Linked DNA regions of Rhinolophus ferrumequinum. The protein of the gene in region 4 binds, or shares a complex with, the protein of the main gene of each other region. Links are inferred from orthologs where the notes say so. Each region holds a gene or a part of one and is shown on either strand. Other genes may lie near its edges. The genes, in order: YBX1, ELAVL4, HNRNPU and IGF2BP1.

What was found.
Region 1: IGF2BP1 (region 4) and YBX1 share a complex: the UniProt entries of both Homo sapiens proteins name them as parts of the coding region determinant (CRD)-mediated complex. The link is inferred for Rhinolophus ferrumequinum from reciprocal best matches to the Homo sapiens genes IGF2BP1 and YBX1.
Region 2: IGF2BP1 (region 4) and ELAVL4 share a complex: the UniProt entries of both Homo sapiens proteins name them as parts of the TAU mRNP complex. The link is inferred for Rhinolophus ferrumequinum from reciprocal best matches to the Homo sapiens genes IGF2BP1 and ELAVL4.
Region 3: IGF2BP1 (region 4) and HNRNPU share a complex: the UniProt entries of both Homo sapiens proteins name them as parts of the coding region determinant (CRD)-mediated complex. The link is inferred for Rhinolophus ferrumequinum from reciprocal best matches to the Homo sapiens genes IGF2BP1 and HNRNPU.

The regions. Positions count from the first base shown.
Region 1 is NC_046292.1:30,054,138-30,061,047, reverse strand, and holds the start of YBX1 (Y-box-binding protein 1), read right to left. Parts: upstream 3,007-6,910; 5' UTR 2,864-3,006; coding exon 2,698-2,863; intron 2,016-2,697; coding exon 1,952-2,015; intron 1-1,951. UniProt on the Homo sapiens protein: DNA- and RNA-binding protein involved in various processes, such as translational repression, RNA stabilization, mRNA splicing, DNA repair and transcription regulation.
Region 2 is NC_046292.1:35,738,558-35,745,618, reverse strand, and holds the start of ELAVL4 (ELAV-like protein 4), read right to left. Parts: upstream 3,019-7,061; 5' UTR 2,990-3,018; coding exon 2,873-2,989; intron 362-2,872; exon of another isoform or gene 77-361; coding exon of another isoform or gene 68-76; intron 1-67. UniProt on the Homo sapiens protein: RNA-binding protein that is involved in the post-transcriptional regulation of mRNAs. Plays a role in the regulation of mRNA stability, alternative splicing and translation.
Region 3 is NC_046310.1:16,462,183-16,470,004, reverse strand, and holds the start of HNRNPU (heterogeneous nuclear ribonucleoprotein U), read right to left. Parts: upstream 3,022-7,822; 5' UTR 2,828-3,021; coding exon 2,194-2,827; intron 1,287-2,193; coding exon 1,175-1,286; intron 1,087-1,174; coding exon 1,013-1,086; intron 1-1,012. UniProt on the Homo sapiens protein: DNA- and RNA-binding protein involved in several cellular processes such as nuclear chromatin organization, telomere-length regulation, transcription, mRNA alternative splicing and stability, Xist-mediated transcriptional silencing and mitotic cell progression.
Region 4 is NC_046304.1:34,183,713-34,191,194, reverse strand, and holds the start of IGF2BP1 (insulin-like growth factor 2 mRNA-binding protein 1), read left to right. Parts: upstream 1-4,472; 5' UTR 4,473-4,788; coding exon 4,789-4,963; intron 4,964-6,168; coding exon 6,169-6,229; intron 6,230-7,482. UniProt on the Homo sapiens protein: RNA-binding factor that recruits target transcripts to cytoplasmic protein-RNA complexes (mRNPs). This transcript 'caging' into mRNPs allows mRNA transport and transient storage.

The DNA.
Region 1 (6,910 bases), on a different chromosome or scaffold from region 4:
TATTTTAATTATAAAAAGCTTAAGAACCTAGAACATATAATCATAGAACCCCAGAGATAAAATTAAAGTCATGGCAATAATCCCAAACACTGCATCTACTCCTTTATAGATAAACAGCACGTGTGTGTCAACCCCGCCCCCAGGTGTCTCCAGCCTTGGCTATATAGTGAACCCTGAACTGCTAACTCCCAGAAGTATAGTTCTTTAAGACATTTAAGGCAAACCTCTCCTGGACGTAACTGCAGTCAGATTTTAGTGTCTTTCTCAAAGTCTCAGAATCATTGGAATGACCTCTTTAGAAACATAAAGCACGTTTGAACCAGTTAATTTGACAAAATAGTTGAGGCCTGGACAGTCCAAACAAAGGATCATAAAAAGCCAATTTACATTTAACTTGTCCTGGAAGATGACCAGTTGAGTTGATTGCAAATCAGAACAGAGATATTCAAGTAATGACATCTCATAAAAATTTAGAGTATGTAAAGAACTACTCTTTCATATTGGGTTATCAATTGTCCGCTTCAAAAATATCACAATCTATGTCCATTTAACAAAATACAGCAAGAGAGAAGGCACATGCTACAATTTTTAAAGCACACACAGACTACCTTCTAACCACTGAAAAGACTGCAAATTACATTCCTTCCTACCCAAGATATCCTATGATTACATTGTGTCAAGGTTAAAAGCAATGTTTTTCAAGGTATGACCCACAAGCCACGACCACCTGAAATTCTTGTTAAAAATGTACCCCAGATCACCCCAATGAATCCAAACCGGGAAGGAAGAGCTGAAGAATTTGCATTTTAACACCCTTCCAAAGTTAAGCACACTTCAATTCAAAACCCACTATTTTAAGGGTTAAGCCAGTAAGATGGAAATACTAACTTAAATGCTAACAAATTCAGAGATCAATCAACTAAAAAGCGCTCAAATACAAGCACCAAAGCATTCCCTTCCTCACTAGTAGTAACCCATCATCACAAAACTGATGGAAAATGTAGCTTTGGCCTGTCAGGAAGGCAGACAGTGTAAGAACAGATGGAAAATTCCTGAAGATTTTGCAAGAAACAAAATGTCCCCCCCCAACTGCAAATACTGTAAAAACAGACCATCAGATGCTTCCAATCTCTTTTGCCCCCGCCCCATACAATAAACGGGTTTTCAAACAAGTCTGTCTCTCTTTAAGCTTGAGCTTGCCCATTTAGTTTCCCTGCAGTAGTGTCCATTTCACATTCGGTATTACTTCTTACTTGGTAAGTGTTCTTTTAAACCTCTAGTTGTTTAATACCTTCTAAAGCAAGCATGTAAGAGAGCGCTGAGATGCCCGTGTCACACCTGTAAGGCCCGTATCACCATCAGCACGCACAGTGCCTCTACACCCATGCCACCGCACTAGCCTTGGCAGCCATCTTGAAAATGATGCCCGCCTCACAGGGAGACCACGGCGAGTCCTGTGCATACACTGCACCTTACCACCACTATTACAAACAACTCCACGCGTTACGCCTAAAAACGCAGTCTGTCACTTTGCCTTCCAATACGAAGAACAATGTCATCACGGATCTATATGCCATCAGTGGGTCACATTTTAAATACCAATTTCAACAACGTGTAAAATGACAAGGATAAAAACGTGGTGGGCACCGAGCCTAACGGCATCACACTAGATCTTAGTTTCCTCAGTCTGCCCCGTTAGGAGACGGCTCGCTTAATCCGCCCGCCTTTTACATTGCTTTGTACCATCACAAGCCTTTTAAGTTAGCTTCACATTAATATTTAGATGCAAAACAAAGATAATCTCTAGATGCACGAATTTCTTCAGTCATCCAGGAAAACAAAAACCCACTACCACACCAGAGGGAGCAACCTACGCATGCTTCAACAATCCCAAATCCGCACAGCCTGCAGCTGCGAGCAGAACGTGCAAGAGGTAGGACGGTCAGCTCACCTGTTGATGAAACCATATCCGTTTCTTACATTGAACCATTTTACTGTTCCCAAAACCTTCGTTGCTGGAAGGAGAAAAAAAAAAACTCACGATTACCAGACATCCTTTTTTAAAACCGCCACGCTTCAGCATCCGGTCCCTCGAGCGTTTCCCCGCGGCCACCTGACAGCCTTTCTCTTCAGAGCCAGCTCGCCCGGCCACGCTCTGGCCCCCACCGCGCCTCCGCGGTCCACGTGGGTGAGCTCAAGGCACCAGGGCCAGGGTCGCAGGCCCAAGCTGGGTGCGCGCGTAGACAGCCGGCGGCGGGCGCGGCTGCCGGGCGGAGAGCACGTGAGGGAAGGGGAAGCAGCCCAGCCCACTCCGGCCTGCGTAGGCGACTCGCCGCGCCCTCAGGGTACACGCGGAAGGGAAAGGGTGGGGGGGACGAAACAACGGCGTGCGGGCCCCGGCGCACGCGGCCAGCGGGGAGGGGAAAGACCCTGCTGCACACGCGGTCAACTACGCGCGGCTGCACGGGGGGAGGGGCGCGCGGCTGCGCGGGGTCTACAGGGGCGCGGGAGCTGGCGCGTGCGCGCCTGCCGGGCACGCGAGCCGGCGTCCGCGAAGGCGCGGGCCTGGGGGAGGGGCAGCCGCGCTGCCGAGTCGGTCCCCGCCGGCCGCGCGCCCGCCGGCTCGCCCCGCTTCGGGTAACGGTTCCACCGCCAGGCTTTCCTACGGCCCAACCCCCGCCCCTTTCCGGCCCTTACCGATGACCTTCTTGTCCCCGCCGGCGGGCGCCGCCGATGTAAGGCCGCCCGGGCCGCCGCTCCCTGCGCCGCTGCCCGTGGTGCCGGGCTTGGTGTCGGCAGCGCTGAGGGCGGGGGCGGCGGGGGGGGCGGCGGGCGGCTGCTGGGTCTCGGCCTCGCTGCTCATGGTTGCGGTGATGGTGACTGGGGCCGGCTGCGGCAGCTGCGGCTCCTCCCGGGGTGTGATGGTAACTAGGCCGGCGGCGGCGGTGGGGCTGCTCAGGGCTCTCTGGGGTCCGCTCTCCGCTCCCGCTACCGATCGAACTAGCGAGAATGGCGGGACGGGCGGGATAAGCCTTGAGATCGACCCGCCCTAAGCATCGTTCACTGGCCAGGAGTGCTGTCAATCTTGCCACCTGACCCCAATTCCTGACTTCTATTGGCTAATACTTTATCACTCCTGCACTTTCATTGGCTCTTAGGCGGCTAATTTGGCCGACCTACAACCGTTCCTGCCTCTGCCGCCGCCGCCATAGAGACCGGAACTAGAATTAGAGTAGAGTCACCACGAGAACCATAGAGTACCGAGGACGGGCAGAGAGAACGTGACTTTCACTAGGCTGCAGCCTGGGCAGGCGGGCCATACATCCAGGATTGTATCCTGGTGGTAGGAAAGGCACGGCCAAACGCTTGAGCCAGGATTACCCGGCCGGAACCGGGGGCTTGAAAGGGGCCCCGTCGACACCTTAGCTCCATGTGGAAAGGCGGCCTCCCTCCCTTCCTGCTCCAAATATGGTCCTTGTGACCTCAGTTACTGTGGATAGAGCCTGCATTCTACAATGGCCGTGCTACTCGTGGCACAGCCGAGTGTTTCTGGACCAGACTTAAACGCATGCATTCAAAGAGTGTCCGTTTTCGGCGGAGCAGTCACCCTCGAGGGACCACGCAGGCTTCTCAGGCTGCCCTGCTCGGCATTTTTAGGGTGGAGGGCGGGGGCGTACTCCATGGGGACCTGTCTTCCCATCCATATTACCAAGCATGTAAGGATTGTCTTGTTAAATATTCAGGTCTTTTTCTATTGGCCACAAATCAGATTTAATCTCAAATCACGTTGATTGAGCAAGCTAGGCATTTTTCTTGCATTTTATTCTTACAACAGTCACATGAAATAAGGATTACTATCCATGTTTCACAACCGATCTATACTTGAGGCTGCCACATGCTGTAGCTGAAGTCCTTCATTCGTTGTTTAGTAAGCATCTACTATCTGCTGGGGATGGACTAGTACATCAGATTCTGCCTTAAATCAGTCTAGGATGAAAACAGAAATTTAAACTCGCAACCCACAGCGTTGCCAAAGCACAAAGCAATTTGGGAGTAAAGGTAGAAGAAGGCGGAGTGCTGACTCCAGGCACGTGGAAGTTTATGCAAGGCCGAGAGGCAAGAAGAGATTGGGTCTGGGGAAATGCAAGTAAAGTAGTCCAATAAGACTAGAATGAAGACATTGTGTTATAGAGGTAGGCTGGGTCAAATTAGGATTTTATTGAAATTATCCTAAGGGCAATAGTGATAAGGGTAATTTAGAGTTGTAAGTAGGGAGTGTCATCATTTTTTTAATGGCTGCTAAGTGGAGAATGGGTTGTAGGGGGGCAAAAATGGAAGTAGTAGGGAAAACAGGCTAGTGCAACAGTCCTTAACCCCCCGCCCCCCCCCCCCCCCCCCCCCCCCCCCCCCCCCCCCCCCGCCCATCATCTAGGCCTGTCATTCCACTTCCAAAAGGCATTCAGTGAATCAGTCCTTAAAACTCTCTAATCCCGTCATTCCTACTGCCCTACACTACTGTAGGCCATTATCAACTATTACTTAGAGCAGAAGCAGGCAAACTTTCTGTAAGGACCAAATAATATGTACTTTAAGCTTTGCAGGCCAGACGATTCTGTCTCAACTAATCAACCTCAGAGCCTGTAAGCAGCCACAATCAGTAAACAGGTTCCCCTGTTCCAAACTTTATGGACACTAAAATTTGAAATTCATATAATTTTTACATGTCATAAAATATTCTTTAGACTGTTTCAACTGTTTAAACATTTAAAAACCATTCTTATTCTTAGCTATATGCCATTGAAAAACAGTGAGAGGGCCTGCCAACTGTAGTTTGCTGAGGCCTGGCTTAGAGCACTCCTAGTTGGTTTCTCTACCGCTTTCTTATTCTAATATTCTCCACCACAACATCCAGAGTGTTCTTTTGAAAACATCTGATCATGACACTGTCTTACCTAAAATCTTTCAGTGACTACCACTACCCTTAGGATTGTCCAAACGCCTTAATGTGGTTTACAGGACTCCGTATGACTTCTCTAAACTTACTCCCCACTTGTCTTTCACTTCTTTGCCCAACCTTCCAGGTGATTTTAGCTGTTGGGCTATCACATACTATTCCCTCTACTGGTAACACTTCCTCTTTCCTTTCTCCTTTGCCTTAAGGCTTAACTCTCTATCCTTTAGGTCTTGCCTCAGATGTTATTAGGTGACAAGACTCTCCTATCCTAACACTGAATTGCATTAATTAAATCTTCCCAGCCAGACTGTGAATTCCTGGAGCACCTAGCATAATACCTGACACACAGTATCTTAATAAATTTGTTAAATGAATGAGATGGTGTAGAAAAGGGATTGGAGAAGGTACAGGCAGCAGAGAGGTCATCTGCGCAACTGTGCCAGTAATCCAGGTGAAAAAGGCTTGCAGCAACAATGTGTATGGAGAGAATTAGGTGGAATCTAGAGCTGCTATTCATCTGTGCCAGCTCCAGATGACTTTTGACTGCTAAGAAGAAACTGCAAAAGGCAGTTCTGCCAACACTGAGGACAGTGTGCCCCTATAGGTTTGCAAGCTTTTTCCCAAAGTGGAGTTAGAAAGACAATGACCGCAGCACCTGAGAATAAGTGAGCAACCTTCCCTATGTATTAATAACTACTTTGAAGAGATGGCTTCTCACGCAGAAATATAAATTCTGTAACATTTGTCTTTATAATGTTACTTAAAAGTATCATTAGTTACTCATCCAATTACTTCACTAAGCTGTCTCCTGCTAAGTGGACATAAAGATGAGCTCTTTCCTACTACTTTCCTTGTAGCCACCTCTCTACCACTACAGAGATGGTACTGAAGCACTGCAGGATAAACGGTTTATGTCAAAATGCATCTCCTGTTCCAAGGTGGGCGCTCTCTGCTCCACAGTTCTGCTAGTCCCCCTGCTACCCTGAGTGCACACTGCCCAGCATGGTGACCACAGTTCAGACAACTCCAGTGCCTATCTTTAAAAGTGATGTGAAAGGCACGGGGGTTCATTTCAAGAATCTCCTTTGCAAAATCACTTTTACCTTTGTCCCCATCTCTGACAGACTGGCCCAGGAACACAGTTCCCTCTTCCTGGAAAGTCCCCCCTCCCTTATCTCCTGGCTAATTCCAGCCAATCTGGCAATATTTACCTCAAATGTTACCTCTTCTCTTAGTCCTGGTCTCGCCACTCTGCTCCCATAGCATCTTGTACATACCATTACCATTCACACAACAAATGTTATTAAGCAGTTACTAGGTACTAGGTGCTTACCTCTTCTAGGTGCTGAGAACACAGTAAAAAAAAAAAAAAAAACAAAAAAAAAACCACAAACGAAAAATGAAAAACAAACCTGCCCAAAATCCCTGTCCTCATTAGGGCTCACATTCTAATACTCATCACGTTGTATTGAAACTGTGCCTATCTCCTGTCACAAGCATGGGCCACATCTGACTTATCTTTGCAGTTCCAGTGTCCAGGACAGAGACTGGCATAGAATGAAGGGTGCCAAGTGTAACTGAATTCAACCGAACGGCCCATCACAAGAAGGTCAACTCAAATCCCAGCTGCTCATCCTCCTTCCTATCTTTAATTCCATCCTGTTTGGTTCCTTGATCAGTTCTCAGTGCGTCCCCTCTGAACCATATTTACTTAGCTACAGAGTTGCAAATATCTATACTATAAGGCTCTTGTACAGCTCACCGTCTTCCTTGTCTCCCAATACACTGAAACGACACTTTTAAGCCAGGTTCTATTTTCATAGAATTCAGCTCTCTGCTATCTCTGCTGCCTGCAGTAGCCTGCTGCTAGTAGTTATGAGTCAAGTGTCCATCAGCCAGGAGAAAGGAGAAATGGGAGGACATAGAAATTGTCTCATGAAAGGAACACTAGGGAAC
Region 2 (7,061 bases), on a different chromosome or scaffold from region 4:
CAAGGTGTAGATGCTTTTCTTCCCTCCAGCAACACAAACAACAGATTATAAATCTAGTCATACCTACCATAACCATTCTTATTGGCAAATATTGGGTCTCGCAGAGCTTCGACTCTTCTCTTAAAATTTGCAAGGTTTCGGAATATATATTTTTAAATGAGTACTATTATATATTTTTAAAGATCCACAAAACACAGTGTGGATGGTTGTAAAGTAAATCAACTATTTTGGGGGGATGAGGGGGAGAGAGAAAAAAAAAAAGAAAGAAAAGGAGCACTGAGCTGAAACCCCCGATTCTAGGATGTAGATAAGAACAACTGAACAGAGCCTTGCTGAAATTGGCTCGAAGCTTCCCCTTTTTACATCCATTTATGGGACCATCTGTCAGCCAAAGCCAAGATCTGATTGGCTGGGGAAACGAAGGGAGGCGTTGCAACATCAGGTGCTATTTAAATTAGCTACTGCCAGATTGACGATGTTAATGATTTGGTGACCTCTACAACAACAGAGACCAGATTTCTGAACTGCTTCTTGTGTCTGGTAATTAAGGCCAGGCTGAAGCAACAACAGCCATACTTGTATTTTTACCTCTTCCCTCCTCCCAGCTCAAAAGTACTATAACAACTGCAGGTCACTGGTGGCTTGCAAATCTTAACAGTGGGAGTGTCCTCCGTTTTCCCTGTCCAGAGGGCTGCACCACCCCAGCCCTCTGACAGAGGGCTTTTCCCAACTAGAATATTTTCAACCACCTCATCTTTCTCGATGGTTGCTTTCTAGCGAAATGCATATTTAATGATCTGCCTCTAGGCTTAAAGATACAACAAAAGCACTTTAATGTGCTAATACATCCACATTTTAACTTTATTATTTCCCAATATTGCTGATTTTTAGTAAGTTATGCTCGTCCTGCAGCTAACATGGACAGTGTTTCAAAAGAAAGCAAGTTTGAGATTGTGCTTGCTCCGGGAACTAGGTTCATACAAGTTTGCTTCAGAAAACTATTTCCTAATAAACAAAAAAGAAAAAAGCTGGTGGGGGGAGGAGGAGGGCAGCTGTCAGCCTCTACCTTTCTGTCGTCTGTCTAAGCTTTTCAAAACAGAGAATGATGAATGATTTATTTAAATGAACTTATTTCTCAACTTGGATAGTGGCATGATCTGAATTTTTAAAAATCCACCAAAACACATTCTCTCTTTGCTTTCCCTACTGCTCTAGAGAAAGGTATAACATGCTTTTGACACAGCCTCATTTCATAACCAGTGCAGAGTGCTCATCTTGCTTAACTGAACACGTGATTTTGCTTCTGTCCTTCAAACGATGTCTTTCTTCTTTGGCCTCCTAAAAGACTTGCATGGAGACATTTAGCAAGTGTGTGGTGATGTATACAGTCTGTGTATGCTATACATTTCATAACCTCTACTCTACCAAGTCTTTGATTATACAGTTTTTTGTTCTGGTTTCAGTTTTTTAAGTGGCTTACCTGAGGCGTTTGTGCTTTACTTCTATCCAAAAAGCTAACTTATCACTATTTATATAATTCATAACTTAATCAATTTGTTCCTCAATAAATACACAGAGGTAACAAATATTACTAAAGACATAATTCAACATAATCTTTAATCTTTGGCTGGAGTTGACAGTGAGATGGGACTAAGCAAAGTAGAAATACAGGCCAAAAACCATGCTACACTCTGGGCTTCAAAGTCCAAGAATAAATGGGTCTGTGAAAAATTATTAGAAAAGAAAATAACTTTTGCATTTCTAAAAATTAAAACTATGCTCTACAAGCATGGACACATACATACACATATGTACACACACTTTTTAAAATACAGATACACCACAAAACAATATGTGTGAGGTACACTATATGAACTATTAGATTTGAATACAAATAAACTCAGATATTAGAAACAAAAACACAGGAAATATAAAAGTGGAAATATTAAGACTATATAAATTCCTTTAAGTGGAACAATACTAAATTAAGTAAACTTTTAAAATAATTTCTTTAGTAAATGTATAGAGTCCTGTGAGTCACAACAGTACTATAATATCTATTGAACTGTGTACTAAGGATGAATTCCCAGGTTAAGTGTGCTCAAGAGCTTAACATACGCACACAGGGCAGGTACAGGTGCTCAAAATCAACAACAGAAACTCTGAATGTGATTTCACCAACATCAAAATATTGTGAAAAGTAAACATGAACACAATGCTGACAAACACAAATAAAAACAGCTGGCTTGGATTTTCACTTTGTATTTAATTTGTATTTCTCTGGAGGTTATAAAAGTCACAATTTTTTTAAATTCTTTTCTCCTATCCATACTAACCTCAGCCCACTCGGTAAGACATAAATTAACAGGTATACCAAAAGATACTCTGGCCACTTTTCCAAAATAGGAACTGCATATTACAGTATAAATAATTAGCTGGTTTTGCTAGGCTAAAAAAATCCATGTACTTTGTATATTGATCACTTCTCCCAAAACCTCCACTCTAAAGTCTTTCAACAGAATCCTCAGACAAATGCACAAATGTCCTCAGAGGCCTTTTCTCTAAAGACAAAGGCAGAATCCTATTGTTGGGAAAAGTCAACCTTATTATTGCATTTCCAATAGTACCATTCATCTTTCAGAGTGAGGGGCTGACCGCTACATCAGTGGTGTGACATTTGTAAAGCAACAGATTCTCAATATATTATCTCAAAAATCAGGCAGGCGAGTCTCCCAGTCATGCATGATTTTTTTTTTTCCGCCACAATCCTCTACCACCACAGAAAGAAACTTGTCTCACTCAAGCAGCGAAGGCAACCTAAAAATGATATCCCAGAGCTATGGGGCTGCCAGTGCCGCTGTATCCCTCTTACCATAAATGAGCAGTTTCTTGACTCATTAATAACAATTTCCCTTAAAAGAAGTAATCTCATATCAGTCAGCCCCTCGCCACCATGCACACATCCCAAAGGTTGCAGATATCTCAGCATCAGTCGCCGGCAGCCAGCTTTCCCACACAGAGTCCAGATGGACTGTACCAGAAGCCAATTCAGCGTTAATAACTACCTACTCCACGCAGTGGAGAAGCCTTACAGGGCACAATGGGCTAGGAAACAGCAGCCGGCTGAAACTGCAAATAAAAAAGACAACCAAATTTTCCAAAAGCACCGAAAGGAAGGAACAGAAATGGAAGCGTGAATTGTATTTCCTTGACTTCCATGAGGGAAAAAAAAAAAAAAGGAATAGAAAAAAAGAGAATCCTTCATAAACACGGGGGGAGAAATGAAGCGAAGGAAAAGAAAGGAAAAAAAAAACAAAAACAGATGCTGCCCAGAAAAAAGTGACAAAATATTACCTCATTATTTAACAAAGCAGCATTAAGCGTCCTGCTGATTTCAAACATCTTGCCACAGATTTTGTTTTAAGAGAAACAGATAGAATCCTTTGCAAAGCACTCCGTCTGCAAAGGGTTCTTCAATTTTCTTGCGCGCCACGGAACAGTCAATATATTATTTCCCTAGAGTTTGCACATTAAAACCTCTAGTCAGTGAGCTGAATTTTCCCCTTATCTCACACACAGTAGACTCCTGTTATATGTACTGCTCTCTTTGCAAGAGCAGCCTGCCCCAAACATGGCTGGTGTTTAAACTACTCTTTAAAGTAACAGTTCACTATATAACCACCAGGTGGGTAGAGTGCACAGATTCAAATGAACCATCTTAAAAGACTGATTTTTGTTCCCCCTTGGAATAGCTTTTGGGTATAGGATGTGACATGAGAAACGCCAGCATCCTAACAGGCATCTTGTCATGTCTCTTTCTCTGTATGTTGTCAAAATAAATAAATAAAATTTCTTCTCCTGACTTATAGCAACAAAACAACAAAACAAAATACCATCATCAATTCTATAATAATAATAAGAACTGTGCAGAATGAAACACAAACAAGCTTTGTTTCATTCAGCAAAGGATGAACAAGGAAAAATCCAACCAACACAGAGTAAGGGGGGATACCAAAAACTCCACAGGAATATTTTCCTTTAGCAAAAACAGAGAAATATTGACTCATGTGATAAAAACTCAATTCAAAAATATGCATATGGACGAAGCACATACAAAATGGAGGCAAGAGTGTAACTTTTCTTCTGAGCAAAACATTAAGTTTATTTGATATGGTCTTTCATGATAGGAAATAACCAAACGCTTAAGAGTAAAGACACTGAAAAACAAATACAAAAACAAATCTTAAGCATCTCTTTTAAAAACACAATTATACAAATAGTTATAAACAACCAGAAGAGTAAACTAATCACATATTTCTCCCCAGTGCTGTTCTTTTCCCCCTAGTGCTGATCTGCTTTGAAGTGGAACATTTCTTTCGTATACTATTTTGGATGTATAGCTAACTTGGTGTCTCCTTTGTATTATTCTATTCCAATTAATCTGCTCTTCTGCCAGGAATAAATAGAAGGTCCCAAGCTGAAAGCCCTAAGTGATGGACGGGGATGCTAAAAGATTAAGAACCACCTGAACAAAAATAAATCTCATCACTTATTTTGTTACAAGGCCTGATTTTTAAGGAGAATTTTATTACTCACAGAGCATGCAAGCACCATTCTACGTTTCCTCGTATCTAAAAGAGAAACCAATGCATACAGATACCTGGGATTTTGCTTTCTTGGCTGAACAAAATTAAAGCCCTGGAATTTCCACATCCTCTTGCAAACACGGATGTTGAGATTAGTATTTTTCCAGCCTATCCAAGCAACATTTAGCCACACACAACAGTGACTGTCTCCTTCATCTTTAAGTCAAGGCTGAATCACTTAATACCATTTAACCTCCTCGCATATATTAAGTTTCAAGTGACAGTTTTTAACTGGGGAGTGAGAAGGAGGAGTTGCTCACATCAAATTCTGGTTGTATGCAATAAGCTAATTTGTACACTCACCATATGTCTTAAACACTAATTAAAAAATGTCACTTTCTTCAAACATTAAAATGTAATCAGCCTAGTAAATAAAATATTCTCAAGTTTTCTTGCCTTGGTGATAATTTAAAGAGTGTTTATCTCAAGGTAACCTCTCTGTTTTGATTACCAAGGAAGGTTTTTGATTTGAAAAGGGAGAAAAGGAGATACTGGGGGCTGGGGGTGGGGAGTAAAAAAAGAAAACCACAACTGAACGTAGCTGCATAAAGGAAAATAAGATGAAGCGGGTTTTTAAGGACCCATAGTCTTGCTACCCTAAGGCAAATCCAGCCAATCAATACCACCCATTGACGGTCTACCATCTGCCATGCTACCCAGAGATGTGGCTAAACAGACCTGTTCCATATGACTGTAGCCGGCTCATTTTCAGTCGATTAGGGCAGTTCCAGAGCATTCACATGCAATAGCACAAAACTCCAAGTCAGACTGAGCCTCTCTCTTCACACCAGTTCCTCTAAGCACAGCTGCAGACCTTCTCCTCCTGTTCTGGGTATCTGGATTACCTCTTCTTGCTCCTCAATTGAATTAGCAAAATGGGGTGGGAAGGTAGAGCAAACACACACACACACACACACACACACACACACACACACACACAGATAATTGCTGGTCCTTCTTCAGTGCCATGCACAGATCAGGAATTCCATGTGCTCTGCCCTAATATGATTATGGCACACAATTTAAATACTATGACCTGACATTTTCCTGTGGTTCAATTTCTTTTTATCCTCTCCTCTTCCTTTGAAAGATAAACCTAAACTGCTGGCATTTCTTCCTTTAGGGAAAATACAATCATCATGCCCAGAGAGTGGTATACCATATTTAAGAACTTTGGATAAAATTTAAATCATAATTTCCCTTTGGTGAATTGTGGTGCTGGTTTTGTCTTTTTTGTTTTCCTGTAGAAACATTAAATCAAATTTTATAGGAAAATGCAAACATACCCCAGAGACAAGAAAGATGCACCAGACTGACATGGAGTCTACTCGAAGGATTAGGGATTCACTGCTGAAGCACTCTTAGAGATAGATGACCTGACAGTGTGATGCCTTCCTCTTTCTTAAGTAGTTTTGCCTACTGTGGATTGTGGGAAAGAGCTAGAAGAATGCTACTGTGAGGGGGAAATGTAGACAAATGGCTGTCTAGTCCACTTAAATTGCCAAGAATTCACCTGTGCAGGTTAGCTAACCTAGGAGTCGTTCACACTTGATCTTCTTGCGTTTTTTTTTTTCCATACCACTACGCCTTATGCTAGAACAGCAGCTGAAAGCAGGTTTCTTTCCAGAATCAACATACCTTTGACCACAGTTGTAAAGCAATAGGGTGTCTTCCTGGGAAAGAAAATTTAAAGGATGGAAAAACTGACTTATTGTTAGTAAATTCTGAAAAAGGTAAATGCACACTTACTCAAGAAATCTAATTTCGGTGGAGTCCCTATCTGGACTTTCCCCTGACATAGCCTTCCTCAAAGCCCAAGAAAACTCAGCAGGGTCACTGTGTGACACACAGAGATTTCTGAAGATCCTTGCATGAAGGGATTTGGGGGGTCTTTCACTTCAGATGAGCTTTACTAAAATTTTTTTAAAAGAAAAGAAACAAACAAGGGACCCTAGTATAAATAAATCTTTACCAATCAAAGGTCACTGAGCAGATGAAGTGTGGAGTAGGTACTCATACCATTAAAGGATATAGTGTGAAACCAGCTTAATAATTTTGAAAATAATTTAATATAGAATTAAAAGAAATTCTGGACTCATTTATAATCTGTAACTACGAATAAAGAAATAGATGTATTGTAAAAAGCAAGGAAGGTTATTTGTAGAAGGAGGGAAATGTAAAGGGGAGGCGAGGAGAGGGAGGACAAGAAGAAATAAAGAAATAATAGGACTTACAAAGTGCAAATAAAAGCTGCTATCTTTTACCAGAAGTCTGCTGTATACCAAACACTGCACCAGGCACTTGACATGTACAATTTTATACAACTTCATGGTAGAGACAATTGTTATATCTAAGCATTTTTCTAGAAAGGTATCTTCCTTATCTAAAAGTGAGATCTTTCCCCATCATTTTGTG
Region 3 (7,822 bases), on a different chromosome or scaffold from region 4:
TCAGCTGACTACTTTTCCATGTGCAGTTTTTTTTATAAAGACTACTCCACTACCTTACTAGGTGTAAAGGGTACTCAGTAAGACATCAAATTTTACACTTACATGCTTACATATCTGAATAAATACAATTTGTATTGAAAACATGAAAACTCTAAGCTTCAACTCCCTAGGATCTACAGGGCAGGTTAACACCTTATTTTTCGAACAATTATTTCTACCTTTTGTTCTGCTTAATCACTGAAAGAATTATACATTCTGATCATATACTAAACCAACAAAATTTCTTTGTGATAAAAAAGAATTCCAAATCTGACAGCCACGGCCCATTTAGAGGTTTGCAATACTTCCTCATACTCAATTGCAACCCAACTGGGTAAAGGAGCAGTATTTACAGCGCTGCCATTGATACCATTCGCTGCTGAAGAAAGCTAGTGGCCCAGTGATAGCCCACTGCTGCTGCCCCAGGTCTTTGGAAGAAATCAACTTATGTTAAAGCAGCAGCTACTGAACTGGAATTGAGAACAAAAGAGCAGTTATTGAGAAAATAATATTACAATCTTTTAGTATAGGGAATATACTTGTGTGCTAATGGGAGAAGTCATTAATAAATATTTAGTCCAAATAGCTCACTTAATATAATTCCACACAAAAAAATGAAATTACTTTATAGAAGCAGCCCATAAGCACAAGTTATAAGTAGTCTTACAAGTTTCCATTAGCTAACTAATCAAAATTGGCATTAATTTTACATTCCTACAAAGGAGAAAGTTCAAGTAATAAAAAAAATACTACAAAATTGCTAGAACCCGTAAAATTATCAATACAATACAACTGCTGCTATACTAAGTATTAAGGTATCGGAATGTCATCATCTTCCTGCCTTTAAAAACCTGTTTCTCCTAAGCTTTCTGCATTAAAGTTCAATGTTACATTCCGTTTTCTAACATGTGGAACCCCAAAATTACAGCATCTGACAATTGAGGGAGGAAAGGGAAGAAGCAGCTTCACTTACAAGTATCAAGACAAACCACTGTGTCATCGAAGTGTTCATCTTCTTCTTCAACAGGTGGCTGAGGAGATTTGGCTCTGAAAGACAATATTGTCTCCTGATACAGCTTTTCCCACCAAAGAGTAAAGAATGAATGACAAGTAAAACTAGGTGAGCGTCCTCTACCTGCTATACTTGTTTTCTTCAATGTACTCAAAATATCCACGGCCATGATCTTCCCGAGGTCGTTTAACACCTCTCTTTTTATCTCCGCCTTTCTGCTCTGTTTTGCCGTCTCCTATAACACACAACACCCCTACTTAGAAGGCCAAGCCGCAAACACAACAGAAAAAAACCCTTTTGTTTTGAGACGCAAAAAAGCTCGACATTTCCTTGTTCCTTTCTGGAAGCGTTTTCAAACAACGGACTCAAATGAGAATTCAAACGATCAGCTTGGAATAGGATTGAAATTAGTGACGCAGTATAAACACCACAAATTTTGCCAGTCTAGTGGAAAATTCGAGAAACCTAATGAAAAATAGCGCCGCACAGGCCGAGCCCACGTGCATCCCGAAGAGAGTTCAGGAAGGCGGGAGGGGCAGAGCCGAGCCCGCGCGCCCTCCCCTCCCCTCCCCCACCCCACCCGGGCCCGCGCTCCCCGCGGCCGCATTGTACAGATCTTCCGCCCCGCTCTCCCCACCCGGCCCCTCCCGTCGGAAGTGACGTCACGCGAGCCCCTGCGCTCCTTGCACAATACCGCGGCCCAGAGCCGCCAAAGCGCGCCCGCCCCGGGCCCTTGGGCCTCTCCCCTCCCCCCGAGACATGTGCCCGCACCGCGCGCACGCTGCGCGGCGGCGCCACCGTGGGCCGACGGGGCTCCCCCCGCCGCCCGCGGCTCCTCCCCCTCCAGCGGCAGCTGCAGCTCCCCTGGCTCTCGAGCCACATAATGGAGGCGCTGCCACCACCGTCACACACACCGAGCCCGAGGCCTCACGGCTAATCCGGGATTCCCCGCGCCCCTCCTCCACCGCCACCCGCGCCGCGGCCCCCGCCCGGGGCTCCCTCCCCCCACGGGGCCCCGGCAGGCCTAAAGCAAGGTCCACACCCGCGCGGGCCTCCTGCCGCGCGCAACGTTACCACGCAGCCCTCACCCGCTGCCGGAGCCCCGGGGCGGCCGCCGCCTCGGCCGCCTTCCGCTTTCTTACCTCCCGCCTGCTGCTGGCCCTGCCTGGCCCCGGGCGGCGCCACCGTCACGGCGAACAGCGAGGTGGGGCCGCTGCTCTTCCCCGCGGCCTCCTTGGCGGCCCCGCGCTGCTGTTGGGGCTGTTGCTGCGGCGTCGCCGGCGGTTGAGACTGCTGCTCCCCGTGCCCGTTCTCGTCGCCCGCGCCTTCCTCCTCGTCTCCGAGCTCATCCTCCCCTTCCTGGAAACCCTGGTCGTCGCCGTTCTCGTCCTCCGAGGCGGCCTCCTCCTCCTCCATCGGGCCCGAGTCGGCCGCCCCCGCGGCCCCATTCTCCTCCCCTAGCTCCATCTGGTTGCCATCCAGGGCGGCGATCCCTTCCTCCTCCTCTTCCTCCTCCTCCTCCTCTTCGTCGCCGCCAGTCGCGGCCTCCTGCTCGAGGCCTGCTCCCGAGCGTCCGGCGGAATCCCCGCCCAGGTCTAGGCTGCCGTTCCCGGGCTCCATGGCGGGGCGGCCCCCGGCCTCCTCGTCGTCCAGCGCGGCCTGGAGTCGCTCCATGAGCTCGGCCTTGAGGCCCTTGTCGGAAAGGCGCCGCTTCTTGAGCTCCTCTTTCAGCTCCGACACCTTCAGCTTTTTTACATTAACAGGCGAGGAACTCATGGTGAGGGCCCCGATTCACCGCTAGGCGCTGGCTCGAACTCGGCTCCGCTCACTCGGCCACTGGTGGCGGCTGCTGCGGCTGCTCCTCGGCCCGGGCGGCGGCTGCGGCTGGAGGTGGGTTCGTGCTGCAGAGCGGACCCGCCTGGTGTCGAACGGCGCCAATTCCTTTCACCGAGTTCGCGAGGGAGACGCGGAGACTCGCCTGGCGTGAGCGAGCACGCAACGTCCTCTCGCAGGGGCGGCGCCGCGCACGTATTATAGCCGCCCCGCCCCCTGCGCTGACGGGAGTGCTGCGCAGGAGGGAAGCCAGAGCGCGCCCGCGCCGGGGCCCGCCCATTACCGTACTTACCTCCCCGCCCCCACGCCGAACTCTGGGCAGAGAGCGCGGCCCGGGCCGCGCAGTGCGCTTCCAATTGGGACTGAGCAAATGGAGGGAAAGGAAACCGCCTTTCAGTTAAACCGACCCACTGCAACAACTATTGGCCTTTCTAGTTCTTTGGTGGCAGTACTCGTTTTGCTCTTTGCCTTTCCAGCCCTGAGGCTGCTTTTATCCAAATGCTTTCAGTCCTCAACCTGGCGGTTTCAATTCGAATCCTCCACCATTTCTTCCATCTTAGATTTTCCTTATCCAGCTATTGGTTTCAATTTTTCAGTTTTGATTTGTACGACACAAATTGGCAATTACTACACGCAGGGGTTTTTCTTCCGCGTAATATTTCGTTTAATTTTTCTAAGTCCTGCCTGTGAATTGGATTTTAAATTCGGGAGGGGCGAGGGCAAAGCCTTTCTTTTGTCTCGTCCACAACCCCTACTGCACGGCTTGGGAGATGGAGGCTTGCCTTAAGAGCGTGATCCCTGCTCCATACCGCAAAGCGTACTTGAGGGGCCTTGTCTTGGCAGCTGTTCTCGTAGTATTAATAGCCAAAGAAATGAAGCCTCAGAATTGCATTTCTGGGTGTTCTCTACCTACCTACCAAAAAAAACCAAAAACGTAAAACATTCTGTCCCACTTAGGACCTGGTCGTCCAGGTGTAAAGTCCCAGCTAAATCCTACACTTTGATTCTATTCATACTTCTGTAGAAATACTCTTGACCAAATCCTGCTGAAACTAATAAAAACGTGTGAAAAATAAAGGGCTGTGATTTTGTAAAAAGAAAAAGAGACTTGTCACCCTCAAAATCTGTTATTTTGGTGTCTTTCAGAAGTAATTTTTTCTTTACTAAATAAAAGATGTGTTATGTTCTTGAGGTTTTAGATAGGGGGGCCAGAATTTAGATTTGTGGTGGAGGTAAACATCTTAAACCTCAGAGAATCTGCACAGGGACCAGCCAGTGTTCCACTATCTCTGACTAAGGAGGTCTGTTACACCCACTATTTGATGCTTTAGCTGGCACAATAATGCGGCCCCAATATTAATTTGAAATTTGGAAAAATATACATGTAAACTTTCCCATAGGTAGTATGTTTTAGATTAATTTTATTGTTTTTTTTAAGTTTCTTTTCGATAGCCTTTAACAAACATGTTATTTTTCCAGGCAGTAGTATATAAAGATGAAATATTAACATTTGTAAAGTGATTTGAGTTGAAATTAATGGACCATGTACAGTACTGGTAATTCTTAATTCAGCTTACTGGAGGTAGAAGGGATAGCACCTAAAATAGGAACTTCCAAATAGTGCCAAAAACTCCTGTTAGCCTTTGGTTACAATGTCCTTGGAGCTTGTAAACAAGTCACAAGCTGGAATTTTAACTTTTCAAATTCTTTGCCCGTGTTCAAAAACGGGAAGAGAGCCACAGGAGGCTTACATGTTCACAAACTGAATAATTAGTCTCTTAATGAATCAGAGTTAAATATAGTTAGCATGACGGTCCTTTAAGTTTGTAAGTGTCCTTAGATATTTACATTTTTAAACTATGAAAATAAAGTTCACATATCTAAATATCTTTATAATAATCATTGTTGGTAGGTTAAATCAGTTAATAATAAACATGAAATATAACTGTAGATGGACAGGAGATAGTTCCATGGCTTTAACTCCAAGAGCTTTGCAGACTTTTTGAGCTCGATGTAGCCTGGAGAACATCTTCAGTGGGCTCAGTTTACAGCCCAGGTTGCAGAGGCTCTCCCTCTCACCCCAGTGCTCCTTCCTTACAACTGGACCTTCTTAAACAACATTGGAAAGAAAAACAGTTTTTGTAAAACTGTCGAGCCATCACCTTACATTGTCCTTTCTACAAAGGGGTAGAATCTACTTTACAATTTGAAAGTACATATAATGATAATTTTACTAATTGTTTTTGCTTCTCTCTCTCTCTTTTTTTTAACTTTTATTTATTTTAAGTGTGTTTCCCACCCCCAGACCCATCAGCTCCAAGTCAAGTAGTTGTTTCAATCTAGTTGTGAAGGGCACAGCTCACAGTGGCACATGTGGATCGAACCAGCAGCTTTGTTGTTAGGAGCTCTGCACTCTAACCAACTGAACTAAGGGGCAGCCCCTGTTTTTTCTACTTAGAGTTTAATGCTATCATGATTGTCCTGTTCTATAGAGACCAGTCAAAGTATAGATCACTTCCTCTAAATTGCTGAGGGACCTATAAGGAACTTAAAATTCCCCCTTTTTGAAATCCTAGAGACTACCAAGAATATAGAGTGGAAGAGGGGACACATTAATTCTCAGTAGCAAAAAGGGATTAGACAATTACCCATGGGTACTAGATCTATGAGAGAGCATTACAAAGTTAGGGTACTCAGAACACATAGTTTACACTTTGAGGCTGAAGCAAAGGTGTGTACATACGTGCTACAGTTCACTCAGCAAATACATTTTTGATCATCTTCTCTAAGACCTATAGAGGTCTAGGCACTGGTATCCTAGAACTACAGCGGTGAACTACATAATTATGCCTTCACTCTCTTAGGGAGAGTAGTCAACAAATATAAAATAGGAATGGTAACAATTACTACAGGGAAATAAAAAACAGGAGAGGGACGAGGTGTACCGAGGTGGGGGGTGAGTTTTTCAGCTATAAATAAGGTGGTCAAGGAAGCCTAAGAAATATGGTAACATTTGAGCAAACATCTAGAAGAGGTGGAGGGAACAGTAAATACAGAGGCCTGAGAGGAAAGATAGGAAGTGAGATCAGAGAGTTAAGAGAGAAGAGAGGAGGTAGAGATAGCAAGCAACCTTGCAGGTGGTTTTGTAAGGACTTTAGCTTTGCCTCCAAGAGAGGAAAGACATTAAAGGCTGATTCATAGTGAAGTGACATAAACTGATATGAGTGCTAAATTCAGTGGACTCAAGATGCTATTCCATTTAACTTATTTTTTTTTTCTTTTTGGTCTAACACAATGAAGCTCAATTTAAGTTAATGAACGAAGCAAGAAATACGGTGAGATAAATTTCCAATCTTCTTACAAAGATGTAAGAAAGTATAGGTACCTCCAAATTATAATGTGTTAAAAGTACATTTTCAAATAGAGAAATAGGAAAGCCCAGTTGAAAGGGAGGATGTACCAAGTTCTCGTTAAAAGTGCAAACTTAGAAACAGACAGACCTGGATTGCAGTGCCATCCAGAGCACCTAGGAGCTGGTCCCATCTAGTAGCTAGTATGTGATCTTGCACAAGCTATGTATCTCTCTATGCCTGAGTTTACTCATATATACCTGCCTCATGAGGTTGCTGGGAAAATTCAGCCAGGTGATGAACATAAACTCAGGGTACAGTGCTGGGCACACAGTAAGAGCTCAAAAAATACTAGTCTTCATTAGATACACCAAGCAATTTAATGAACTTAAGAAAATCTGTGATTGGATTGTTAATATCTTATTTAGGGAATTATGACTATACATATTTTGTAAATTATCATGAATTGTTCATTGTAAGATGTCAGTCTAGAAAAAAGTGAAATGAAGTCTGTCCACACAGGAGAGTGCAGACTTCTCAGCTCAGCACTGTCACTGTAACCAGCTGTGTGACCTTTGGCAAATTGCGTGATCTCTCTGGAAATTAGTGTCCTTGTGTATGTACGAAGCAGAGCAGACTAGATTTGTAGAGTCCCTCCAGAGAGAACCTTCGATGAGTTTCTTCTTTGCTGACTCCAGGCTGGAAATGGGGGAGCACTGTTAAACTTTGAAATCATTGTTATTTACATTCAGGTTTTACTTGTTATGTTTAAAACTTTGCATTAGAGTCTCAAAACATTTTAAAATTAAGTAGTAGACATGAACGTTGAACCATTGTACTATAGTTTTTGAATTTAAAATGGTACAAAATATTCCCATTTACATGAGACTTGAGTACCACGACAGGCTAAAAGTTTCAAAGTAAATGCTTCCTATTTGAATCATCTTGTCTGTGATGTCATGAATCTCTGTCTTCACATAACTTCTGTGGAATAAAACACGCTCATTAGAAAGTTGCAGGAAAACTATAATCGTGGTTAAAGTAATATGTCAGGGCTTTTCTGAATATTTACTAAATATTCAGTAAATATTTACTAAACTAAAATATTTACCAGGTAAAGACTGATAACATTTACCAAAACTTATCTTACACAAAGGTAAGTGGAGTGCTAAGGAGTTTATTATTATTAAGTACATTATCACACACATTACTCGTGCCTGGCCGGTATCACAGTACCTGATAGAAAAGGATGAAGAAAATATTCAGACCATCCTGAATTACACAGCCAAGAACGAGATGAAAGACTAGAGTGATTATTACCTCATAAGCTCTCACCTTCTATGTGCACCCTTGGAGCTGGTCTGTTCCTTGAGCTCAGGGAGCAAGATGGACATGACTTTTCCAGCACCCGGTGCAGTGTCTTACATCAATAGTCACAGAGAGCCCAGCAGTGTGTGGGGAACGAGATGGAAGCTCGGTAACGAAATATACCCTCTAAAAACGTGAGAACTGTACCACAACCCTGATGCACACTGAATAATTTATTTTAAGAGAGAGCTCTCCAAAAATTAAGTAGAGACTGTGATGA
Region 4 (7,482 bases):
CTATTTTACAGTTTTTCAAAATTTATAGTCATCTAAAAGAACCACATTAAAACTTCAAGTTGCAGGAAGAAACAAAATATCCCAGGGCAACAACAATGAAAAAAACAAGCAAACAACAAAATAAAAACCAAGCAAACAAAAAACAAATTCCTCTTAAAACTTTGAAGTCAGAACAGTTCTCAGGAAATGATAATTTTTATTTTTGTATATTTTATAGAAACTATAATTTCATTTAAAAATTATGGTTCATTAGAAAAATAGAAAAAATTCAATTTTAATGTATTTCCCTTCTAACTGCTTACCAATTGTTTTGTGTCCTTTCTTTTGTAAAACAGGCTAAACTTTTAAAATAGAAAGTCATTGATAAATGTTAGATTTGAAATGCAATATATATTCTGGGGATTTATCCATAGGAGCTAATCTAAAAGGAAAAAGTTATATGCCCCCCAAATCTATTCAGTTCCACTCAGAAAAGTAAAAAATTTGATGTAACATATATTTTAAAATAACAATGATTAACTTACACCTCCTGAAATGAATGCTACATGTTTGTTAAAAATGATAGTTATGAAAACTTTGAGGCAGCATGGGAAAATGCTTATGGTACAACAGCAAGGAAAAAATTAAGATATAAAAATAAGTAGACAAAATAGAAAATATTACAAATCGACAAATATTGGAAAGAAACATTTAAAAAATAAAAGTGAATTTTTATGACTGGTGGAATTGTTGATTTTTTCCACTTTATATTTCCAATTAAAAATGTTATTTCATTCTCTTAAATGTTTTTGTCTCTCTGCGTGTGTTTGTATATTCACATTGAAGGAAAATGGATCAGAATCCCATCTTTAAAATGGAGTCAAGGTTCAGGGTTTCTGAATTCAGAGGAAAATTCAATTCTGCAACTAGACCAAACAAGTCTCCAGGAAAAATGAAAGAGAACAAGAAGTATAGCATAATAATTAATAATTGATAATAATATTAATTACATAAATTATTATTAAAGAAAACAATGTATCCTGCAGCTGTATTTTTAACTCTTACAAACTAAATTTAACTGATTAATTTTTCCCAAAGAAGCTGTGTAGAAAAAAAAAAATTGAAAACAAATGCAATGTTTATTAGTTATCCGTAATTAAAAAAAAAGGATGATTAATCATGGGGTCCTAAGTCTGCTCATTCCTATCCCTAACCTAGGAATGTGAGTCTTGAGAAAAATAACCCTTCTCTCAGGTTAATTTTAGTGCTGGGCTCACTCAGAAGGGAGAGTTGAAGCACCAATCACCATCACTCAGTCCCCCCAACTCCAGCCTAAAATAGCCAGGTCACTGAGACAAAACTGATTTGGGGGCTGAAAAGGTCTGCATCTCACCCCAGCTGTCTCCTCTCTCTTGTGTTCTTGCAGCCTCTGACTATACACAGAAGCCCTTGGTGGGGGAGGGGGGGTGGATTAGAATTCAGTGAAACAGCTGATTTTTAAAACGCATCAGTTTCAATTTAGCAATGGTTGGTAAAATTTTAATTTTATACATTTACATTTTCTTCTCCACAGTCATTTTTATAAACTAATTCCAGTTCACATTTAGGCTTACATATTTTTAAATGGAAAAAAAATCAACCTAAAAGTGAACTGAATTCAATTATTACTTTAAAAAATTTTGTTTCCCTTTGATTCTAAGATAGGCAAAGGTGGACTGCATTTTAGAGGTCTGGATGTAGATTTTTGTGCGGTGTAACATGTTTTTGTTTTAGGAATGAAGAGATAGAGTAGTGGTTATGTCCCCCAGGGAGAAAACCTGAGAGGTGCTTCTATTAATTCCTTAAGATTTAAATTAAATGAAGGAAATAGCACGTCAAGTTTCTGGGAATGGAACGCCCTGCCTAGTACAATCTTTCTTGTTCCCCAATATAGCAGAAAAGATTGAAGGAGAGTGGGGCTCCTATTTAGGGAAAGGCCAAGGAATACAACAGCCTTTCTGAGACTATCTTTTAGCCCTTTCAAAAGTCCACACACAACACCAAGAAAAGTCCCCAGGCAACAGACCCACACATTCTGGCCAAGATAATTTTTTCCCCTTGACTCTTAATTTTCCTCTGAATTCAATTTGCTCTGCAGTTTGTATTAGCTCGTTTTCATTTACAAAATGTTTATTGAATGCCTACTATGTGGCAGGTACCGATTCCAGCTCGTTGGATTTAAAATTATGTTTATGGTCAAGAGCTCATAGAAACAGGGGAGGGTCGGAGTGGGGGGTGGGATACAGATGTCGCCCACCTTCTTGGATAGACTTTTTCCTCTTAGCAACTAATAGCATGTAGTATTTTAATTTCTGTTGCCCCATGGAAAGAAAAAGATCGCAAACAAAAATGCGACAAACACGTGGCTGGCTAGAACAAAACGCGGATTTGGAGGGTCGGTTTTGAAGGTGGTGGAGACGGAGACACCGAGTCGGAAGCCCTCCCCCGCCCCTACGCCCAAACCCATTTCTTTGCAGCGCGCGGGGAAAACCGGGAGGGGGACAAAGGTGCGGCATGTCGTCTTTTAACTCCCGACTTTTCGAACGGTATAGAATCGTCTGGCAGAAGAGCGGTGCTCCCAAGTCGGAGTCAACTCACTGACTCTGCAAACAAATAAGAAAAAAACCCAAGGCATTCATATCGGTGCAGCCAACACGTGTTGCAGAGTCGGCTCGGGCCGCAGGCGACTGAGACAATGGGGTCGGGGACCGGGAAAGGGAGAGTGACCCCCTTTCTCACCTGCCCTCGCAGCTCGCGTGCCCCCGACAGAAAGCTTTCTCCCTCCCGCAGAACCCGGAGGAAAACCCGAGCTTCCGCCTAGTTCAGGGAGCTTCTGGCAATACTGAGGGTCCACCCCCTCTTTCCCTGGTTCCCTGGCCAAAGGGGCTCCAGGGTCCCCGGGTCGCGCTCTCCGACACCCCCTGGCGCCGTCCCAGCCCCAGGCGCTGGAAACTCGTCGGCCTGGCTGGTCCCCCGGCCCAGGATCCCGGTGGCGCGTGGAACGCAGATCCCGTTCTCTGCCGCGTATCCTGGACTCCGAAACGCGCGGCGAACTGCCCCCTCCCCCACCGCCGAGACGGGGTGCGACCGCCCACGTGTCGCCCCTTGCCCAGTCGGGTTCGTCCCTCGGGCTCTCCGGGCCGGAGGATCCGGAACGAGTTGGTCAAAGGCGAGGGAAGGGACCTGGGCGGATCCGCTTCCCCTCCCCAGGAACAGGCGGGGGGCGGACCACCGCCCCCTCCTCTAAGCTCCCGCCCCTCGCTTCCCTAGCGCCGAGCGGAAACTACCCCCTCCCCCCGCGGGTCTGACCTGGGGACGGGGGCGGGGCTTAGCGCTCGGCCCCCTGCTCTTGGCTCCTCTCCCGCCTTCCCGCCTGGATTCCGATCCTGCGCCCCAAACAAAGTTCCGAGACCCCAACCCAACGCGGGGAAAGCTGCTGTCGCTGTCCTGGGTGGAGCGGGCGGAGGGGACTCCACCTGTCCGTCCCCGCGTCGGGGCGGGAGAAGGGGACCATTCGGATCTCCACCCGGTCACTCCCTCGCTGAGACCTATCCCTTCGGTTCGCCCGGGTCTGCTCACGCTACCACTCCTTGTCCTTCTCTCCACCCTTCCCTCTCGCGGGGTCTTCCTGGGCCGGAGCCACCGGTTCCCCCAGGACCCCAAAACCTTTTCGTTCAGCAGTGGAACCTTGGGTGTTAATTTCTTTCGCCCGTGGGAATCCCGAAACCTGATTTCCTGTGGATCCCTCGTTCCCAACCGCGATCCCCCGTGTTCCCAGCCTCCCGGTCCCGCGCTTTCAGGGACCCTCGGTCCTGGGTTCCCGGAGGCGAGGGAGTCTCCCAGGGCTGGGGCAGGGAAGGCCGAGACCCCCCCCCCCACTTAAAAATCCAGGAAAAGGCGCCTTTCTTTCTAAATCGCTGGTTCGCGCGACCCCCTCCTGAAGACCCCAGAGTCCTCGGCTTCTCTTTGTCTATCTCCGCCGTCCCCCGCCTGTCAGTCGCTAGCAGTTAACCATGGTAGGGTGGGCAAACCCCCCCACCCACCACAGGAATAAAAAAATAACCGTACATTTTATCCATAAAGAGGTGGGAGATTCTGGGCCCGACCACCCTCCCCCAGCCAGGGCTGGGGTATGAGGATGAGTGGGGGCGGGGCGCCTCCCTAGGGGCCAGATTCATGCAAAGGGGGAGGGGGCAAGTGAAGCTTCGGGAACGCAGCCCCCCACCCGCCGCCCAGTTGACTCAGGGGGTGAGTTGAGTGCCCCCCACCTCCGGCGGGAGATTGGTGGGCTGGGCCGGGCTGGAGGGCCTAAGGTTCCGGAGGCGTCGGGGGTCTTCCCCTGCAGGGTGGGTGGGGGCTTTCACCACGTGGCTTCGCCTTTTTTTTTTTTTCCGCTCCATTTTTTTTTTTTTTCAAGTCGATTTTATTTAGAGGCGGCGCCAGGGCGGCCGCGGAGAAACGTGACACACCAGCCCGCTCAGAGGGGTTTCGGACAGAAGGAAAGAAGCAGTGCCGCGTCGTCCACCTCCCAGCGCGCCGCGGGCACTTCTCCCGGGCCTCTCGAACTCCTCCGCGACCTCTGCGCGCCCTCTGGCCGCCCTTCGCGCCCCCGGCTCCGGACAACTTCAGGGGTGGGGTGCAAAGAAAGTTTGCGGCTGTCGCCGCCGGCCGCCCGCCCGCCTCTTGGCCTAGGAGGCTCTCCGCCCGCGCCCGCCCCCGCCCTCTCGCTCGGCCTTGCTAGGGACCGCGTCCCGCCCCGAACCCGCCACCATGAACAAGCTTTACATCGGCAACCTAAACGAGAGCGTGACCCCCGCCGACTTGGAGAAAGTGTTTGCGGAGCACAAGATCTCCTACAGCGGCCAGTTCTTGGTCAAATCCGGCTATGCTTTCGTGGACTGCCCCGACGAGCACTGGGCGATGAAGGCCATCGAAACTTTCTCGGGTAAGAGTGCTCCCACCTCCCCGAGAAACCACGACGAAATCCCCGAACAACGGAGACCTGCGCTTCTCTTTTCCGTGCCCGCCAACTGTGCTCTCCCACCGGCCTGCGGGGCTTGGCTTCAGGACCCACCCATCACCCACCTCCTTCGACGCCCCCACCCTACCCCACTCTCCATCCCTACCCCCACTCTTTCATGCCTACCCCCACTCCCTCACCCCTACCGCGCCGTGGAAATATTCGGCGTTTCCTCACCCCTTCCTCCCAGTCTCTGGAGGCTTTAGTAGGGTCGTCCCGTGACCCCTCCCGAAGGGGCGGGAGCCCCAGTGGCAGTAATGGGGGGGCGCCACTGAGGCGACCCCCGTCTGGGCGTTATTTTCACGTCGGCCCCTCGCCATCCGCGCCTGGACGCCTTCTCCACCCCATGAGCACCCCTGGCTACCCTTCCTTCGCCTTAGGCCTTTCCAGGCAGGGAAGGGGGCCCCACTTCATTTGCTATCTCCCGGGTTTCCGTGGGGACTGCAGCCTTCGGGCCCGACTTGAGAGAGGGGGTCCCGCTTCCCGCCCAGGCCCTGTAGGTTGAGCCATTTTGATTTGAAAGTGGGGCGTGAGCGGGTGGCGCGGTGGCAGCGGCGGCGGGTCGCCATGCTGCTTCCCGAGACGCGAGGCTGGGCGGGGAGGCGCGCGCCGCGGCCGCCAGGGACCCTCCCAGCGGTCCGGGCTTCGCTCCCCAGGGCTTCACCTCCCGACCGGCCCGACAGGTGACCGCCAGGTCGCCCGAAGCCCTCTTCTTTGGCTTGACGGAAAAATAGTTTCGTTTAGTACCCCCACACCCAACACACTTTGGGAGAAACAGGGGCCCTTTCTCGGCCCTTCTCCCCACATCTGGGAGCCGTGTAGGCAACCCGCCCACACAGACGTCCTCACACTCCTCCCAAATCCAGCTCCCAGAGCGATCCATGACCCAATTAGCCCCAGTGAGGCAACAGAACAAAATAAAAATTAAGAAAACACAATAATGAGTTTACAGACTCCACCATTCTCAGAGCGACCTTTTCGCATCCGGCTGCGAAATCCACTGCCTGGATTCCTAGGAAGGTCTCAAATCCCAGTAACTCCTGAATTACCCTAATGTCTTTCTCCTTCCTTTTCCCGCTCCCCACCCCTGTTCAAGCTCTTATATTGCCCCCCCCCTTTTTAATCTTTAGGGAAAGTAGAACTGCAAGGAAAACGCCTAGAGATTGAACACTCCGTCCCCAAAAAACAAAGGTAGGAAAGAGCTCTTCTCTGGGGAGGGGGACAGCCTGGGGGCCCTAAGAGGCTGTGTCCTGGGGTCCATAGTGTCTCCAGTGGAAGAAACCCATTTCTGGCCTTCCCACCCCCAACTCCGGATGTTGGGGGCAGGGAGGGAAGATTGGCTAAGATCTTGTAATGGGTGGTTTACAGCTTGTAAAAAAAAATAAGCTGGGCCTGGGGTGGGCTAAGAAATCTTACTTGGAAAAGTAAACTGGGAAAAAATAGGGGAGAAGCCTTGTGGAGTTTGATTGAAGTGTGAGGGGCCATTTTTGTGGGGAAGCTAAAAGTCTCCAAGAGTTTAGACTCATGGACATTTTTGCAACTTCCTAGCAGGCCTCATTTTCTGATTTTCTGTTTCTTCCCACCCTTCCCTTATCATAATTTTTAAGTGGATGTGGGGGGTCCCCTTTGACTCCCTTGGGGAGGTAGAATGAGTTCCTGCTCCCAAAAGAATTCTCTTATGCTTGTGTTTTATTTACATAATATTTCTGCAACAGGCAAGGACACTAGTATTTTCAGACTCCTACCCCCAGCCCCTCATATCCCACATCCTCCCCTCCCAACTGGATTTTGCAAAGAATATGCTTTGGCTGTACTATCCTTTCTGAGCCCCCACCCCCTTTCAGTCCATTGTTACAAGGGGACCATCTGGGGTGAGAGCTTTGTGTTCAGGCTGTGAGCTGGGGCTCTTTGGAGGGTCTAGAACTTCCTAGATGAGTGGGTGTGTGTGTGTGTGTGTGTGTGTGTGTGTGTGTGTGTGTGTGTGTGTGTGTGTGTGTTTGTGTGTCTCTCTCTGTCTCCGTGTGCCAGTACTATCCTCACTTCAGCAAAGTGGGGTACCTCTGTCATATCCCCAAATCTAATTCATGGTGGATTTCAAATCTTTTCATTGAACTCTGGCTGGGAAGTATAAGGGCAGAGTATTTCTGCTTTCTGAAATCTGACTTTAAATGTGTTGACAGTGCACTTTCCTCTCACGTTGCAGCCCCCAGTAAATCTTTGATTCTCTCACTCCCCTACTCCCCTCATTTCAACTGGAAACTTGCTGCATTTCAGAACAGTCCTTGGCTTTTCTGAGTGGGAAGGTGGAGGTGGGTGGCTGTGCCTTTTGGAGGCAGTTAAGAGGATCTAGAAAGTTTAACAGGAGGAAAAATCTAAATCTATTTGTTCTGTGGTTTAGCTTGAGATGTTTAACTTGGAACTATTGTATCTATAGATGATCAATA